Caenorhabditis elegans: one gene and its partner. The protein of the gene in region 1 purifies or fractionates together with the protein of each later gene. This does not show direct contact. Each region holds a gene or a part of one and is shown on either strand. Other genes may lie near its edges.

Evidence for each region. The genes of interacting proteins can lie anywhere in the genome.
Region 2: the proteins of arl-8 (region 1) and vps-41 purify together in Caenorhabditis elegans (affinity purification with western blotting, with the first as the bait; one study listed by BioGRID). This does not show direct contact.

The regions. Positions count from the first base shown.
Region 1 is NC_003282.8:14,796,236-14,801,053, forward strand, and holds arl-8 (ADP-ribosylation factor-like protein 8B), read left to right. Parts: upstream 1-1,913; 5' UTR 1,914-1,943; coding exon 1,944-2,066; intron 2,067-2,114; coding exon 2,115-2,502; intron 2,503-2,549; coding exon 2,550-2,596; 3' UTR 2,597-2,992; downstream 2,993-4,818. Other genes in the region: coq-3 (Ubiquinone biosynthesis O-methyltransferase, mitochondrial), read right to left, coding at 1-89; nuo-3 (NADH dehydrogenase [ubiquinone] 1 alpha subcomplex subunit 6), read right to left, coding at 283-405, 454-726; Y57G11C.1147 (Protein BRICK1), read right to left, coding at 729-838, 899-947, 1,150-1,215; Y57G11C.14 (uncharacterized protein), read left to right, coding at 3,110-3,268, 4,046-4,237, 4,298-4,414, 4,459-4,560, 4,610-4,768.
Region 2 is NC_003284.9:5,281,858-5,285,457, reverse strand, and holds the start of vps-41 (Vacuolar protein sorting-associated protein 41 homolog), read right to left. Parts: upstream 1,623-3,600; coding exon 1,341-1,622; intron 1,040-1,340; exon of another isoform or gene 965-1,039; intron 1-964. Other genes in the region: Y34B4A.2 (UV radiation resistance-associated gene protein-like), read right to left, coding at 1,832-1,946, 2,186-2,356. UniProt on the Caenorhabditis elegans protein: Plays a role in vesicle-mediated protein trafficking to lysosomal compartments including the endocytic membrane transport pathways.

The sequences.
Region 1 (4,818 bases):
ACATCAATAGAAGATACTGAAGCGGCTGAAGTAGTCGAGTGTAGTCGTTGTAGCTTTGCGATGATTCTGGCACTTCGTGAAGGGATCATCTACCAGGAAAAATAAAATTCAATCAAAATAAACAAAAAAAATCGAAAAAGAAATAAAATTAGGTCGTAGAACCTGCCAAATCAATTTTTAAGTCAAAAAATCAGATTTTATTCCTTCTAGTATCAGCCGATTCGATTTAAAATACGAGAATTTACTTTACAATTACACATAAAACACTGAAAAATAAAAAATCTATTCCTTTCCGTTGAGGAATTTGGAGAGGAAGTCCTTTGGCTTGGCTTCGACATTTTCAGCGAACAGGTAGTTGCGCACGTGATCCGGGTTGTAGAATGCGTAACGGATCGATTTCATGTGCTGAAAGTGACAATTAGAGTTTAGAAAATTTAAATTTTATTCAAAAACCTGATGAGTTTCTCCGACAAGTCTGTCAACGACACGAACATCGGTGAGATGTCCGTTCTTTGTGAATTGCTTCTTGATGACAGCACGGAACACGCCGAGCGGCATATCATGAAGTCCGAAATCCCACCAGAACTTTGGAGTGAGACGTTGGAACTCCTTATAAGCGGCGAGAACCGACATGCGTGCCTCGGCGGAATTGTTGGATTTGATTGGAGCGACGGTGCGAACGGCGTGTTGTCCGGCACGGACGACTCTTCCGGCAGTTGCAGACATTATTACGAAAGAGTATCTCCTTTGGTGACACGGGCTTCAAGAAATTCGACCTTTCGTTCCAAAAGGTTAAGCTTGTCGCTGAGAGTCGCTAGTTTTGTGCGGCAAGAGAGCTCTGGAAGAAATCAGATATTTTTTAAAGGAATTAATTTAAAATAATAATTTTTCTACAAACCAAAGCTGGACAAGAAGTTAGCGATGTTCTTGATGTTATCGGCAATAATCTGAAAGTTAGTACGGGTTAGTGTGGGAGATATGAATTCACACATGAATATTTGTTGTAAAATTGTATAAAATCACAACCTACTGAAGTGAAAAGCTATTTCAACACCGCAGTTAAAAATATTCAAAAATTTCAACAACCATTTTTAATCAATTTTCATTCACATTTCAATCGATTTCCATCATTTTTTTCCGTCTACTAACCTGCTCAAACTCGCGATTATCCCAGTCGTCCTTTAGTTGTTGTTGAACGGCTTCCGAAGCGTGCATTCAACGCTGAAAAGCTGAAAAACGGTGAAGGATGGTCGCCGGTGTGCCGCGTGCTGCGTAAATCGACACACTCGATCGCGGCGAAACCCGTCCTCGAAACTGCGTGCGCCTTTGATGTCAGCGGTCGTTCGATTGGCTCCTTGTCGCACTGATTTGGCTTTGGATTTCGTAATTTTCGACGGATTTTCGGGATTTTCTATCGATTTTTTGAGAATTTTCAAGGAAATAGACTGATTATTCATTAGTTTTTTCAAAAATTCCATACATTCATTGAGAATGGGTTAGACAAACGTAAATTCAGATTTTAGAAAATCGAGCAAACTGAGCAAAAAACTGTGTCCGCTTGAGAAATTTGTAAAAATTAAGACTATATTCACTGAAAACTCTTATTGCAATCCGATATTATCCAATGAAACTATCTGCTTTTAGCAATTCTATTGTTTTGAAACGTTTCTCTCAAAATTTTATAGACATCACGTGTTTTGTTGACTATTCTCGATGATTCATTGGTTTTGATTTCGTGAAAGTTACTGCAAAATAAATTTTGCGATAAGGAAAATCAATATTTCTACTTGTTTTTTTTTCAACAGCAAAAGCGAGCTTGCTCCAAAATTAATAGCGGTTTTCCGTTAAACCCTTCTGTTTTTCTTTGTGCTCTCTCACACACACACCCTTTTCAATCGAATTGCACTTTTCAGGAATTTCCTCATTCAACATCAATATTCAAGATGTTGGCTATGGTGAATAAGGTTCTCGACTGGATTCGCAGTCTTTTTTGGAAAGAGGAGATGGAGTTGACACTTGTTGGGCTCCAAAACTCTGGAAAAACGACATTTGTCAATGTTATTGCTGTTAGTTTTTCTGGAAAATAAATTTAAATTCAATGTTCTTCACTTTAGAGCGGCCAATTCACAGAAGATATGATCCCAACAGTCGGATTCAATATGCGGAAGATCACCAAAGGCAACGTGACGATCAAATTATGGGATATCGGGGGCCAGCCACGGTTCCGCTCGATGTGGGAACGATATTGCCGCGGTGTCAACGCCATCGTCTTCATGGTGGACGCTGCCGACGAGGAGAAGCTCGAAGCATCCAGAAATGAGCTTATGCAGCTGTTGGACAAGCCACAGCTCGACGCTATTCCAGTTTTGGTGCTCGGAAACAAGAAGGATTTGCCTGGAGCACTTGATGAGCGGCAATTGATCGAAAGAATGAATCTGTCATCAATCCAGAATCGCGAGATTTGCTGCTATTCTATTTCATGCAAAGAGAAGGAGAATATTGGTAATTTTTTAAATCTTTGAACCATTCTAAACTGAATTGTTTTCCAGATATCACCCTCCAATGGCTCATCGATCACTCGAAAGCTCAACGCTAAACTAGGCACAATCCACGACTCAATCTACTCGAAAATTTACAATTCACACCGCAAAATATATTAAATCAAACCTTTTTTTTTTGAAAATTCTGTAGATATTATTTATTTGAATCCCCTCCCCTCCATATTCAACTAATCTCTCTCGTCTTTTTCATCACAATTGTAGTCAATTTCCCCAACCCATTCGCTCCCAGTTTTATTTCTTTGGTAGCTTTCACTGTGGGATGTTCATCATCCCCATTCAAAAGTTGTGAAATTTCCCTCCAATTTTATGTACATGTTGTGTATCACTTTTTTGGACATTTTGCAACACCACTGCAACCATTCTCATTATTTTTTACAAATGTGCTTAATTCCTTAACTCTTCTTCACTCTTTTTCATAAATTGAAAATTTACTAAGGCATTTAGTTAACGTGTTGCTCTAGCATTGCAGCCTAATTTTTAAAATTCTAAAGTTGAATGAAAAAAAAGGAAATCAATTATTCCTTCAGTTTCAAAATTCGAAGCAAGCGATGGAATGTGTGAATTGTGATTGTACAGTCAAAACGATGGACAATTTGGATAAAGCGATTCGGGAACTGTTGCAACGTGGCAAACACGTCAATCGAATGATGGACAACGAGAAGATGATTAGAGAAGCTAGACGAATGGAAGAGGTTCAGCAGTTAAAGGTTTGAAAACTGAAAAACTCGGGTCTCGCAGCGATTTCTGGGGCGGTACTGTAATTTCTCCGCTTTTTTTCTCATTTTTCATGGATTTTCTTTATTAAACGAGAAAAATCGGACGAAAATCGCGAAAAACGAGATGATTGAAGTACAGTACTCTTTAAAGGCGCATGCCTCCTATTTTTGAGTTTCTCGATTGCGCCGAGACCAGGCTGCGGTATTGTACTTCTTAAAGGCACAAATCGATCGATTTTTGAATGTCTTTCGTTAAAAAGTCGATAAAAATCGAAGAAAGCATCGAAGAAAACGAAAAATTATATAAAATCGAAGAAAACGAAAATTATTTAAATAGCGGAAAATTGGAAAAAAATTGCAAAAAAGTAAGAGAAGTGGGGTACTGTATTTCTTGAAGGCGCATACACTTCTACGCAATCTACAATATAATGTTTTTTGTTCGTTTCGAGACCGAATTTGTGGAAAATAATAATAATAATTATAATAATTTATTACGCTCGCTGGGAGACGTGAAGGAATACAGAATACAAGAGTTATCATTGTTCGCTTGAACTAGAATTGGTGCAATCGGGCAATTGTTTCCATTCCATTAGAATGTTGTCCTTGTCCTTACGTTGTCCTTGCGTAGACTCCCCCATAGTGGGCGAGCGATTCCCGAGTGAAAATAATCACGGAATGAAAATAATCACGGAATCGTGAACAAAAACATTTTTTACGAAAAAAGTAGTTTTATTTAAAATAAAACTTAAAAAAAAAACAAATTTCCAGATGCAAATCCCGAAGCCTGTTGACAAGAAGCCCCGCTCATCGGAAAAGAACCTCAAGCTCATTTCATGTGAGGAAACTTGTATGGATGAGACGCTGAAAAACTCGTCAAAGCCACGTATTATCTTCAACAAACAGCTCGGACACGCCGAATCGATTGATTTCGATGTTCCATCGCTGTCTTATGAGAGTTCGGTAGGTTCTCTTGGTGGCCTAGTTTTCTCTTTTCCACGGCCACCGAAATTACTTTTTTAGGATAAGGGTGTCGTCGAGTCGACTACTTCGACGTCGGTGTCGAATCCGAAAAAGACGACTTCTTCTTCGATGTTCACCAAGTCGGAGGCCACTACAATTTCGGAGTTGACCACTTCTGTAAGCTGCAAATCTAGACAAAATCTACAAATTTACTGTTTCAGACGTTCAAAAAGGCTAAGAATCCATCAGGTGGTGCTCTTGTGTTGGATAATCATTATTTGATTAATAATGACGATGGAACTGTGAGCAAATTGCCAATGAAGGTAGGTCTAGGCGTGCCTGCCTACTGCCTATCTTGTGAAAATGTTCCAGATCTACGTGAAACAACATCTCGAAGATGGCTCTTTGGATGTTCAACTTGTATTTTTCGATGAAAACTCGCAAAAAGTGATGGATATTTCTATGTTGGTGAATGGGAAAAAGATCAAAGACGTTCAATTTTGTGGAAAAGACGCTAAACTTGTGAATTAGAACTTCTTTTTGTATTTTTTCGTAGAATTTTTCTGTGTGTCAAGTAAAAG
Region 2 (3,600 bases), on another chromosome or scaffold:
AAATTTTCAGAACGGGAAACAAGTATTTAGAACATTTTTTTGAGGGTTTTACATAATTTTTTTGCTTTTTAATTGAACCATAATTACCCTGGAAACTTTTCAGAAATTTAATTTTTTTCGAAAATTGTCACTTTTTTCTCCACCCATGAGAAAATTTGATCGAAAAATTTTTTTTTGAAATTTTTTTAAAAATGCATGAAATATTTTAGAGTGTCACAAATAACCTATTTTTCATTATTTTCAATGACCGAATCATTGATTCTGATGCCTTATCAAGACGTTTTACCAAATCGATATTGGCAAAACATCTTGTTTTTGAGGCTCCATATCTCTGCAGGAAAAAATCGCACTAAAAAGTGATTAACTGAAAACTTGTTAAACACAATGTAATCTAAAACTTTTCAGTTGAACACTTTTTTGTAAAAAATTTCGTTGCCAAGATATAGATCTTTAACTATTTAGAATATTCAAAAATAATGAAGCTCAAATCAATTGGTTCCAACTCGGCAACGAAATTTTTTACAAAAAAGTGTTCAACTGAAAAGTTTTAGATTACATTGTGTTTAACAAGTTTTCAGTTAATCACTTTTTAGTGCGATTTTTTCCTGCAGAGATATGGAGCCTCAAAAACAAGATGTTTTGCCAATATCGATTTGGTAAAACGTCTTGATAAGGCATCAGAATCAATGATTCGGTCATTGAAAATAATGAAAAATAGGTTATTTGTGACACTCTAAAATATTTCATGCATTTTTAAAAAAATTTCAAAAAAAAATTTTTCGATCAAATTTTCTCATGGGTGGAGAAAAAAGTGACAATTTTCGAAAAAAATTAAAATTTCTGAAAAGTTTCCAGGGTAATTATGGTTCAATTAAAAAGCAAAAAAATTATGTAAAACCCTCAAAAAAAAGTTCTAAATACTTGTTTCCCGTTCTGAAAATTTTGTATAAAAAAGGCCAAAAGTTAAACCATGTATGGGAACCGAACCCACAAACTTCTGCTCAAGAGGCGAACGCGTTCACCACTCGACCACCGAACCGATGTTTTCGCCCTTCCACCATTGTGGTGAGACTTCTGTTGGCGCCAGAGACAAAAATCCACTGTTAACCATAGGAAATGCACTGATTTCAGTGTAGAATTTCAGACGTAAAAATTTCAGATTTCCAGCCCGAACGGGCAAAAATTTCAGTCATATTCTTATAGTAGAGAATGTCAGCTTTCCGATACAATATTTTTTTTTTGAATATCGCTCCATTTATTCTGGTCATTCCCTAGTTAGTCATTTTCAGCATAATAGAAATGGATTCAAATAATTTCCCCACTGGCCGTACTTAACTTACCGGTACGCTATCAAAATTCCCATACCCATGATGATCGAGAATGTAAATGAGACCAGTAGCCGTACCAATTGCAATAAATTTATCGTGCAGATCGATTGACGTGAAAGTTGCCGTTTTCATAAATGGAAGTGTTTCCTCTCCTTTCAGACGCTCATATTTGAATCGAGGCTCTAATGGTGGCTCATCGTCGTCTTCTGTGTTGAATGTGACGTCATCATGGTAGGAATTTTCGAACACTGGATCAAAGGAATCGGACGCCTCATTCTCGTGTGTTTCGTCCATTGGTTCTGAGAACTTGTTGTAGTAGATGTGATAGAGTTTCAAAATATAAATACAAATACTTGAAACTAGGTATTAAACCTAGTGGAACACAAATAAAAAACAAATAAAAACAATACAAAAAATAAATTCGTTTTTTTTTCAAACACTGAAAATAAATAAACCCAAACAATGCAACATGAAATGTGTGCAGTAAGTCAACATGGATATCATCATGGTACCGGTAGGTCTGTAGGTAAAGCATCTTGTGGTGGTTGGAAGTTGACGAGAAGGCTTGAAGGACTACTTGTATTGTTGATAGGCCGATCATAAATGCACACATATTTCCTGTAAAAAAGGGAAAATTTTGTTCGTCAACATTCTTGTGCATAAATTATGCATTTTTATTGGTTTTAGAGTCTATATAAATAAGGCTTGCGCTCCAAAGGCTAGAGCGTCAGATATATGTTTCTCTCTCTCTCTCTCTCTCTCTCTCTCTCTCTCTCTCTCTCTCTCTCTCTCTCTCTCTCTCTCTCTCTCTCTCTCTCTCTCTCTCTCTCTCTTTCTCTTTCTGATTATATACCCACCCTTCAACCACTGAACGTATCCAGTCCGCTAATACTGAAAGTGTCTTATCAGCCATTGGAGTAGGAATTCCGCAGTCGGATCGAAGTTGGGCAATATTTTTGGCTAGCCAACTGAGTCCTTCAAGAAATCGTTCACGTTCCGATCTTTTCTTCCATCCGGATAGCGTTGCCCTAAAAATTAATTGCATTAGTTAGTTTGAAAGGATCCTAACATTTGTAAACTCCGTTTTCACCACTTTTTGGCTCGAAATAAACATTTTCCAAATAAAGAAATGTTCTCATGATATTTAAGCATTGTATCACCATAGATTTTTCGGTTTTTTTACCACACCGCCTTGTATTTCCCATTAGGGATATACCACTTTTTAGAAGAGAAACGCGATACATCTAATTTTTTAAACCATTCGCAACAAAAACCACCACTAAACTCTCTTGAATAACACACTGTGAAAGTGTGCAAGGGGAAGATATTCAGTCAGATGTTGCCACAGAAAAAAGTATGTTTGCTCTGTTCGCCAACAGTGTATCTATCGTTTCAACTTGCAAGGCCATACATAGCCATCGAAATGTGTGTGTGACTCTTCTTCTCTAACTCTCTGACACCAATCACAAATCAGTGGGGCCACACACACACACACGGGCGCCCTCCCTGATTACTGGCTGGCACCACTTGCCTACTCCATTGTACCATTTTTAATTTTGGCGGGCATTTCTTCACAAACATTTTCCGGCGACTCCCCACTTGTCCTGGTGTATTTCTCGCATATGTTTGTCGAAGCAAGTAGCCTTCATTATATATTTCGTTTTGAATAAGAAACACACCTTGCAAGCTGCTCATAATATCCTACTCTACGCGTTTTACTATTTTCAATAGTAGTACAAGAAAAGTACTATTTCTCATTTAGCAACTAAGATTCCCCTGAAACAAGTAAAAGTATACACTTGCTGGTGGTGCACCAAGCAAGTTGTAATCCTTTTTTGAGAACCGTGAGAAACAAGCAATTGCTGGCAGTGTCCGCTGTATTTATCTTCCGTGAAAGTGACAAATAATTTATTTTGAAAATTTTCAAAAGACTGTGAAAAAAGAACTGTTGCATTTTTCCTATTGCGTACAATTCAACTTTTCAAGAAGTTTAAATATTAACTAAATTGTCGTAAACTATTTAGAAATCTTTGAGAAAATAGCAAAAAAAAGAAAATTGTATGCTACTTATTTTAGAATTTGGCGCCGCAGATAATCTCTAAAATAATTCAAAATAATTTTAAAACGTGCCACAATGCTGAAAATCGTGTAATTAATCATATTCAGAAGTTTGGAATATATCGGCTTATCAATCAACTTTTTACCGCGCATAAAATAAGGAAACTCAGACAATTACATGTTCATAATTGTTACTGTAATATCTAAAACAAAA